Linked DNA regions of Drosophila melanogaster. The protein of the gene in region 1 interacts with the protein of each later gene in a pairwise test. Each region holds a gene or a part of one and is shown on either strand. Other genes may lie near its edges. The genes, in order: CG6659 and Gabat.

The links.
Region 2: the proteins of CG6659 (region 1) and Gabat interact in a two-hybrid assay, tested with the Drosophila melanogaster proteins (one large-scale study listed by BioGRID).

The regions. Positions count from the first base shown.
Region 1 is NC_004354.4:18,655,416-18,659,338, reverse strand, and holds the start of CG6659 (uncharacterized protein), read left to right. Parts: upstream 1-2,052; 5' UTR 2,053-2,195; coding exon 2,196-2,241; exon of another isoform or gene 2,242-2,363; coding exon 2,364-2,625; intron 2,626-2,693; coding exon 2,694-3,015; intron 3,016-3,068; coding exon 3,069-3,923. Other genes in the region: fu (fused), read right to left, coding at 1-1,316, 1,389-1,499. UniProt on the Drosophila melanogaster protein: Probable C-mannosyltransferase that mediates C-mannosylation of tryptophan residues on target proteins.
Region 2 is NT_037436.4:19,998,663-20,002,585, forward strand, and holds the start of Gabat (gamma-aminobutyric acid transaminase), read right to left. Parts: upstream 1,965-3,923; 5' UTR 1,926-1,964; intron 1,812-1,925; exon of another isoform or gene 1,781-1,811; intron 1,741-1,780; 5' UTR 1,496-1,740; coding exon 1,459-1,495; intron 1,399-1,458; coding exon 1,274-1,398; intron 1,082-1,273; coding exon 910-1,081; intron 789-909; coding exon 626-788; intron 522-625; coding exon 1-521. Other genes in the region: Tom20 (translocase of outer membrane 20), read left to right, coding at 2,505-2,634, 2,699-2,774, 3,188-3,497.

The DNA.
Region 1 (3,923 bases):
GGCTGTTGCTGCGGGGGCTGAGAATTTGCGTAGGAAATTGCTTCAGCGGGAGGCTTGTTTTCCTGGTTATGCTTTTCCTGTGTAGCAATCTCCGTGGCCTTGCGTTGCGCCTCATGGTCGACGCTGTGACCCAAGCGAACAGAGAAGTTATCCAGATTCTGACTAAGCTTACGCTTCTCTAGATCCTTGCTGCGCGACTGGCGTACGGTTGGAGCGACTATTGGCTTAGCGGCCACGCCTCCGCCCCGCAAGGAAGCCTGAAAGTCGAAGTTGTCGTTCATATGATTGAGGATCATATTGGAGTTGCCACTGACGAAGCAAGTGTGCGAGTTGATCACCGGCTGGTGTACCATCGGCATTGCCCGAACACCAGACAGATCCCTGTAGGACAAGTCCGCGAAGGGAACGACCACACGTTGCATATTGTCCTCCACATCGGTCTCAAGATGCTCAACATCGCTGGGAGCAATGGCGTTTATGCTGTCGCGGGAGGTGGTCAAGTTTTCCTGTCGCGACTCGCCAAAGTCCAAAGCGGCCAGGGCCTCGTCCAGATCGCCTACCTCCGGATCGGACTGTTTTGACGACTTAACCTTGGCTTCGGGATTTGTGAAAGGCGATTCCTTGGCCGCCTCCGCCTGCGTTTCTGCGATAAAGATGCGTCCCTCAACGAAGGGGTGACACAACAGCTGCGTCCAGGATATGCGCAGACCGGGGTCCTTCTCAAGCAGGCCCTGTAGGAAGGAGCGGCACTCGCTAGTCAGCGTGCTCGGCCACTTGACGTCCTCGTGCTTGATCATCTTCACCAGATGCAGGATGGAGCTGGCACAGAAGGGCGGCTGACCGGCCATGCTTTCGTAGGCTATGCAGCCCAGTGACCACATGTCCGCATGATGGTCGTACGGCTGCTCCGCCAGCAGCTCCGGGGCCATGTAGAGGGGCGTTCCCTTGATCGAGGTGAGCACGTGGGTACCCAGGGTCATGTTGCGGGCCAGTCCAAAGTCGCAGAGTTTCGCGTGCATGTTCTTGTCGAGCAGCACGTTTTGCGGTTTGAGATCCCGGTGGAGGATGCGGTTTGAATGCAGGTAGTACAGAGCGGACACCAGATGCCCGGTCACCCGACGTGCCGGCTCCTCGCCCATGGCTCCATTGTAGGACAGGTAGCGGTGCAGGTCCATCAGCGCGAACTCAGTGACCACGAAAAGGTCCGTCTTCGACTCGAAGGACTCGATCATCTCGATGACGTGCGGATGCTTCAGCCGGGCCTGAATGTCGCACTCCCTGCGCAAATTCTTCAGCTCTTTCGTGGCTCTTCCGCGCTGCAGAACATGAATATGGTGTGAACTAGTTGTATGGACTTGTTGCTTTATCACCTGGCCCGCCCCACTCACCTTGGAGATCACTTTGATGGCCACCACCTTGCTGTCGTCCTTGCGTGTCGCCTTGTATACGCACCCGAAGGATCCTTGCCCCACCATCGAGCTTACCGCGTAGCGGTTCATGGTTATTCTTTGTTTTGCTGCGGATTGGGATGTGATTACCACTGAAGTGCGTGCGGTATGACCGTAGCAGGTTGACTCCGAGGTGGGAACTCGGCTTCGGTACGTAGGTATATGAAAATACTAGATTGCTCATACAGGGTTCCTTTTCTGATAAATGACGCTTTTGCTGGACAGCAATTGTACCTAAAAATCTATATAGACCAGATCATGATACAATCCAAGACAAATACAAGACTAGTTTGCGCTTTTATCTGTGGCAGTAGGTATTAGTATTATCTGCGAATAAACATTTATTAAGTGATAAAAGTTGGAACGAACTTTAACTTATATATTATTATATATTATAAATATTTATATGTATATATTTCTTAATGTACAAATTTTTACTTAATAAGTGCAATAAATGATATGCAATATAAATAATTAAAAATTCCAAAAGTGCAGTAGATAATATAACTAATTATAGGTATGTACCTATATATCGTAATGTACCTAAAATTCAGTGTGACCAAACCAACACAAATGACCCTTTTGACAGCAACTCGGTACGGTCACCCTAGACAAGCACGGCCGAAGAACAGCTGATTGCTGGCTGGTTTTTATTGTGCGGAGCCAGGAATAATCGTTGTGAAATAAATAATGATTGCCAATTTGAACACAGCCACCCAGTGAGACGACACCCACAATCGCAGCACGATGCGCGAGCCCAACCTGTACGTGATCCTGTCGCACGCGCTGATCGGTGAGTTTCCGCCAACCGGCAGACACTTCTGCCACGCCTCTTCCGCTTCCAGGCGGCAGTCTAATTGAGTTGGGGATTCCCACTGCCATTGACCACACTCCCAATTCCAATCCGCATCCCAGGCTGCGGCTTCTTCTTCCTATACGTGCAGCATGTGCGCGTGATCTTCGAGACGCGCACCAACATCCAGCAGCTCAATCAGCTGGAGCGGGAGGCGCTTCTGCGGCGCGAGGATGCCCTGTACTATGCCTTCTACAAGCAGCTGGCCGAAGGGCCGGACTTTTGGCACGGCTACGAGCAGCTGAAGAACGTCACGGACATCGAGTATCCGCACAGTGTCAATGTGCTGCAGCGATTCTACGTGCTGCCGGAGCTGGTCACGGCGTAAGTGACTGCCAGAGGAGTGATGCCCAAAAAGTCCACTAATGCAGATGCACTTTCGCTCCCCAAAGGTACTTCTTTCACGTAGTGCGCTCCGGCTTCAATCCAATGGTGCAACCGATGCAGTTCTATCTGGAGTTCGTGTGGCTGATGGGCGGGGTAACCCTGCTGGTACTCTACCTGTACGGAACGCTGCTCAGCGAGAACATTTTCGGTGGCATATACGGCGTAATCTCGTACCTGATGTTCCACAGCTTCGTGGCCAAGATCTATGAGCGGCCGCTGGCGCGGGAGAACTTCGCCTTTCCGTTCATTTTCCTGCAGATGTTTTATCTGTGTATCTGCATCGGAAGGATCATACACCGACAGCGGCACACATCTCGCATGTTCATGGTAATAGGTGTGCTTTATTGCATTAAGCTCAGTAACATCTTTGCCCTTCGAAGATCTTCGCCATGTCGCTTTTCACCGCCTGCGCCCTACTCTCCTGGCAGTTCTCCACCTTCATCTTCACCACCCAGATCCTGATCATGATGACGTCCTGGAACGCGAGCGCGCTGCCCACGGCTCTGGTCAACGCCTTCGTGCTGGACTACTCGCTGTCGCACCTGCTGGGCCACGCTCTCGCCTTTGTAATGTCGCACGGCAACAGCCAGCTGCTTCTCACCTGGCAGCTGAGCATCTCGCTGTTCCTATTTTTGATTACAATGGTGCGACAGTTGCGTCACGTGCGCAGCCGGCGACTGGGACACGCGCAGGATCTGCTGAACGGCGACTTATTCTCGTTGAAGTTCCTCATGCTCACACTGCTGCTCGCCAGCAGCGTGCAGACCACGCTGATAGAGCTCTTCAATCGGGCTGGCGTGGTCAGTGTGACGGAAGGCGACCAGCAGCACTTCTTCGACATATGTGCCCACTGGGCTCTGCAGGTCAATGTCGGCTTTGTCGCCCACCTTTCCGCCTGCAATCCGCAGTACGCGCGCGTCGCCTGGTCAGAATTGTGGCAGCTGGTCAAGACGATGATTGTTAAGCCGTACTGCATGTACGGCGTGGTCATGCTGGCCATGTTCTTCCGGCGCTGGCGCAAGAGCGGCGCCCCAGTAAGTGCCCTCACCGAAGAGCAGCGCGAGAGAGCGCGCAAATACGTGCTGGAAGACTTCATAGAGGAGCACTTCGTTTCCATGAGCGACATGTCTAGCAAGGAGACGGAGAAACAGCTGTATAAGTGCTTCCGCCTGCTCAAAAGCTGCGACTACGACTACGAGCGCTACAAGCGCGCACAGGCCAGCCTGCGTAAGGAG
Region 2 (3,923 bases), on another chromosome or scaffold:
CCACATCGGGAGGACTCTCCAACTCGAAGTGCTCGTGGGCCCAGAATTTTCCAGTGCTACCTCCACCGGTTTGGACCTCATCGATCAGAAGGGCGATGCCATTCTTCTTGCAAATAGCCTGGAGGCTCCGAAAGAACTCGGGCGATGCCTCGTTGTCGCCTCCTTCGCTCTGAATCGGTTCAACGACGATTCCGGCAACCGGATTCTTGCTGGCGTACTGCTGAATGAGATCCTGCACTTCGCTAAGGCACTTTTCGTCCTCCTTCTTGTTGTGCGCCACGTTTTCGTCCAGGGGATATCGATACTCGGGAAACGAGGCAATGGGCCAGTCGAAAGATGGAACGTCCAACTTATGGATGTACTTCGAATGTGTGGTGGACAGGGCTCCCAATGTTCGCCCATGGAAGGCTCCCTTGAATGAGAGAATACTGAGTTTCGGGGCTCCTGGGGGAATGTTAATCATGCAGGAGTTCTTCTCCTGCTCGGTAAGAGGTGCATTACCACGAAGTTTGTTCTGGTACCTGAAAACGAAATATTTGCAGCACGTTACAGCATTCCAACAGGGTTTAACTTTAATACTTAAAAAGGCTGAAGAATGACTAAAACTAAAGACTTTAGTACTCACCATATGAAGATGCTCTTGTAGGCATTTTCATTCGAGCATGAACCACACATCATGGTTGTGATTTTATTGAGTCCTTTCGGAGCTATGTTCAAGAGAACTGAGTGCAGTTTTTCCGGCCATTCCTTGCCAGGGAAGACACCAAGTGCAGGTCGGTTAATCAATGCTGGAAATAGTCAAGGATATAGTCACATTATTCAACATGGGAGTTATGTGGCTAAGATAAAACAATATCTTAGGGTTCTTCAACTACATATATGTATGTAGTATATGATATAACTTCTTACTTTTCAGGTTTTGCTCATTGTTAAAGACCTTGTAGAGCCTCGGATGGTTGTAACCCAATGGAACTGAGGAAATCTGGGTGTAGACATCTAGTAGAATGTTGCCATCCACGTCGTAGATGTAGTTTCCAATGGACTTCTCGTAGTCAGCGAAGAATTGGATCGTTCCGGTGGCCTATAAAAATGCAATTCGTTTTGATTAATAATGAATAGTTGAAAAGTAAGACACTAGGGGGCTATCTCTAAGTGGGCATATGGCATATGGTCTGATTTGAGAACGAAAAGTGCAATAAATATACATATTAATGTGCTTGTGGCGAAAGTACAATATAACCCTCACAACCCAGATAAGGCCGAAGAAACTCACCTGAACAGAATCCAGTTGCTTCTTAAGCTCAATCGATTTGGGGCCAGGTATCGATTTGGTTTTCACTACAGGCTCCTTGGGCTCAACGTTGGTGGAGTACCTCTTGGTACTCAGCCTATATAGACCTACAAGGATACCCAATCAGTTCCAGATTCGCTGGAGCTTAAGGATTTTCATTAGCTTACTCTGCTTGGTCAACGTATTTAGCCACAAGCTCCGCATGGTTACCGTCGATTTGAGTGCTCCGGGGTTAAGTGAAGGAATTGCTCAATAGGAGGGCTCGTTGCTGGCCACTAATACTTAGTTAATAAAGAAAACGTATATATTTACAGAATACAAACATAGAGGCTTTTATGTATGCGGGCATATACACCTATCCATATTCTTAAGCACAACCACATTCTCCCAGTTCGGATTTTATCAATTTAACTTTTGGAATCATCATGGTTCTGCGTCAATTACATATTCTGCAGTGAAAGTAAACGAAAGTTGAAAAAAAAACCAAACCATATTTTGCTCTGCGGGGCTCCATGGTCTCCTATTGAAATGAAGATTATATATCATAGTATTAGCATTTTCTATATATTTTCTTTTTCCACATTAAGCATATCTTATTTTTCAAAACAAAATTATAACAAATATTTTAACGAACAATAGGCCTTGACCAAATTCTCAACATGCATTATGCCATAATAAAATCTACTCTGGAGTTATCAACAAAATATCTTCAAAAAGTGGTAAATTTAAAATTAAAAAAAAAAACTGAATTAAGTCGTCAGCTGTTTCACACAACGGAAGATATGCATATATGCGAACAATTTTTTATTTAAGTAATTACAAAATAAAAGTAAAAAAAATAAAAAAAGAAAATTAAAAACATTAGTTTTGGAGGATAGGGATTTTAAGCGAATAATGCAAGTTAAATAAATATAATACAAGAAGTGAGCTTACGATTATTTCTTAGCGTATTATAACTTGATCCCACAGTATTTCTGAATAAACTAAAAAAAAATACATTTAAATCTCTTACTTAAAATTAAATAAATATCCCTTAGCAAAATTTAAAAAAGAAAACAGTGTTCCAGTCCGCCGTTTCAAATTAGTGCGAAACAAGTGAAAAACATGAAACAACAGTAGTTGTAGGCGATATCGATTTTTGTTTTATGTAAATCGATGGCACATGCGGAATGTAAAATAAGACCAAGTTAATACAGAGGATTTCCGTAGTAATATGATTGAAATGAACAAAACTGCAATCGGCATTGCAGCGGGAGTAGCTGGAACTCTGTTTATTGGATACTGCATCTACTTCGACAAGAAGCGCCGCAGCGATCCCGAGTACAAGAAGAAAGTCCGTGAGCGTAAGAATCCCCATTGCGCCCCAACTGAATTATGAAAGAAACTCATCATTTCATCACTTCCTAGGTCGCCGTCGCAACAAGAAAACCGGCACTGCCAAGTCTGGAGTTCCCAATCTGAACGACCATGAAGCCATCGAAAGGTAGGACACTCCCATGGGAGTCGCATTATATAATGTGGCACGTGTAGTGGTGCCTGGCGATTCAATACACCTCCATTCAAACAAACAAGCCCACATATGTTTCTCCAGCCAAATCGATGTACATATTTTATGTGGAGTCCCATTACACTTGCGTGTTCATCGTGTTGCTGCTTATTGCCTCAGGCATCTAAAGACTCCACTGCCTTGGATTAACAAGCACATTTCAGTGTTTGGATTCTCAGCAGGCTTCCTGCCAAGAAATTCATAATTTGAATATACAAATAGTTATTATTGTTGCAACTGTGCACAATTTATATTATTTATATGCACCTAATTTGCCTGGCATTAATTTAATTCGTAATAGTGTGCATCGAATCAGCTGTTCCAAACTAATTAAACCATGATATTTGCAGATATTTCCTTCAAGAAATCCAGCTGGGCGAGACCCTGATCGCCCGCGGAGATTTCGAGAGTGGCGTGGAGCACTTGGCGAATGCCATCGTCGTGTGTGGCCAGCCGGCTCGTCTGCTGCAGGTGCTGCAATCCTCCCTTCCAGCTCAAGTATTCGCGATGCTGATCGTCAAGATGCAGGAGTTCGGCAATCGAGCGGCCGAGGGCAACGACGGGCCAATCGTTTTGGGGCAGAGCTCGGAGCAACAACTGGACGGAGCCAAAATTATAGAGTGTTCATCTGGAAACGCAAGTATCGACGACCTCGAATAGTACTTGGAGATGGCTACAGAAATTGAGATATAAATTTCAACAGTAGAAATTAAGGGCTTCACATATAAACATTATATTTTTTTTATATATTGATTTCTCTGGATGTTCCCAATACATACAAATAAATATGCGTAAACTGTTAACACTTAACAATTGAGCTTTGTTTTGTGCGTGGTATTTACGTTAGGCGAATATCAAAGATCAACTCTGCAGACCTAAATGTTTTGCAATATGTATGTATAACAGGGTATGTGTTAAAGTGTGTGAAAGTTTATCAACAATAAAAGATTATTAACATGTTGAATATCTTGGGAATAAATACATATATCTCCTAACCGGTTTGATAATAAAGGTATTCCAAAGTTTCTTTGGTATTTAAATATAAGTGATTATTTATAGGAAAAGCGTACTACTGCCATCTAGGCA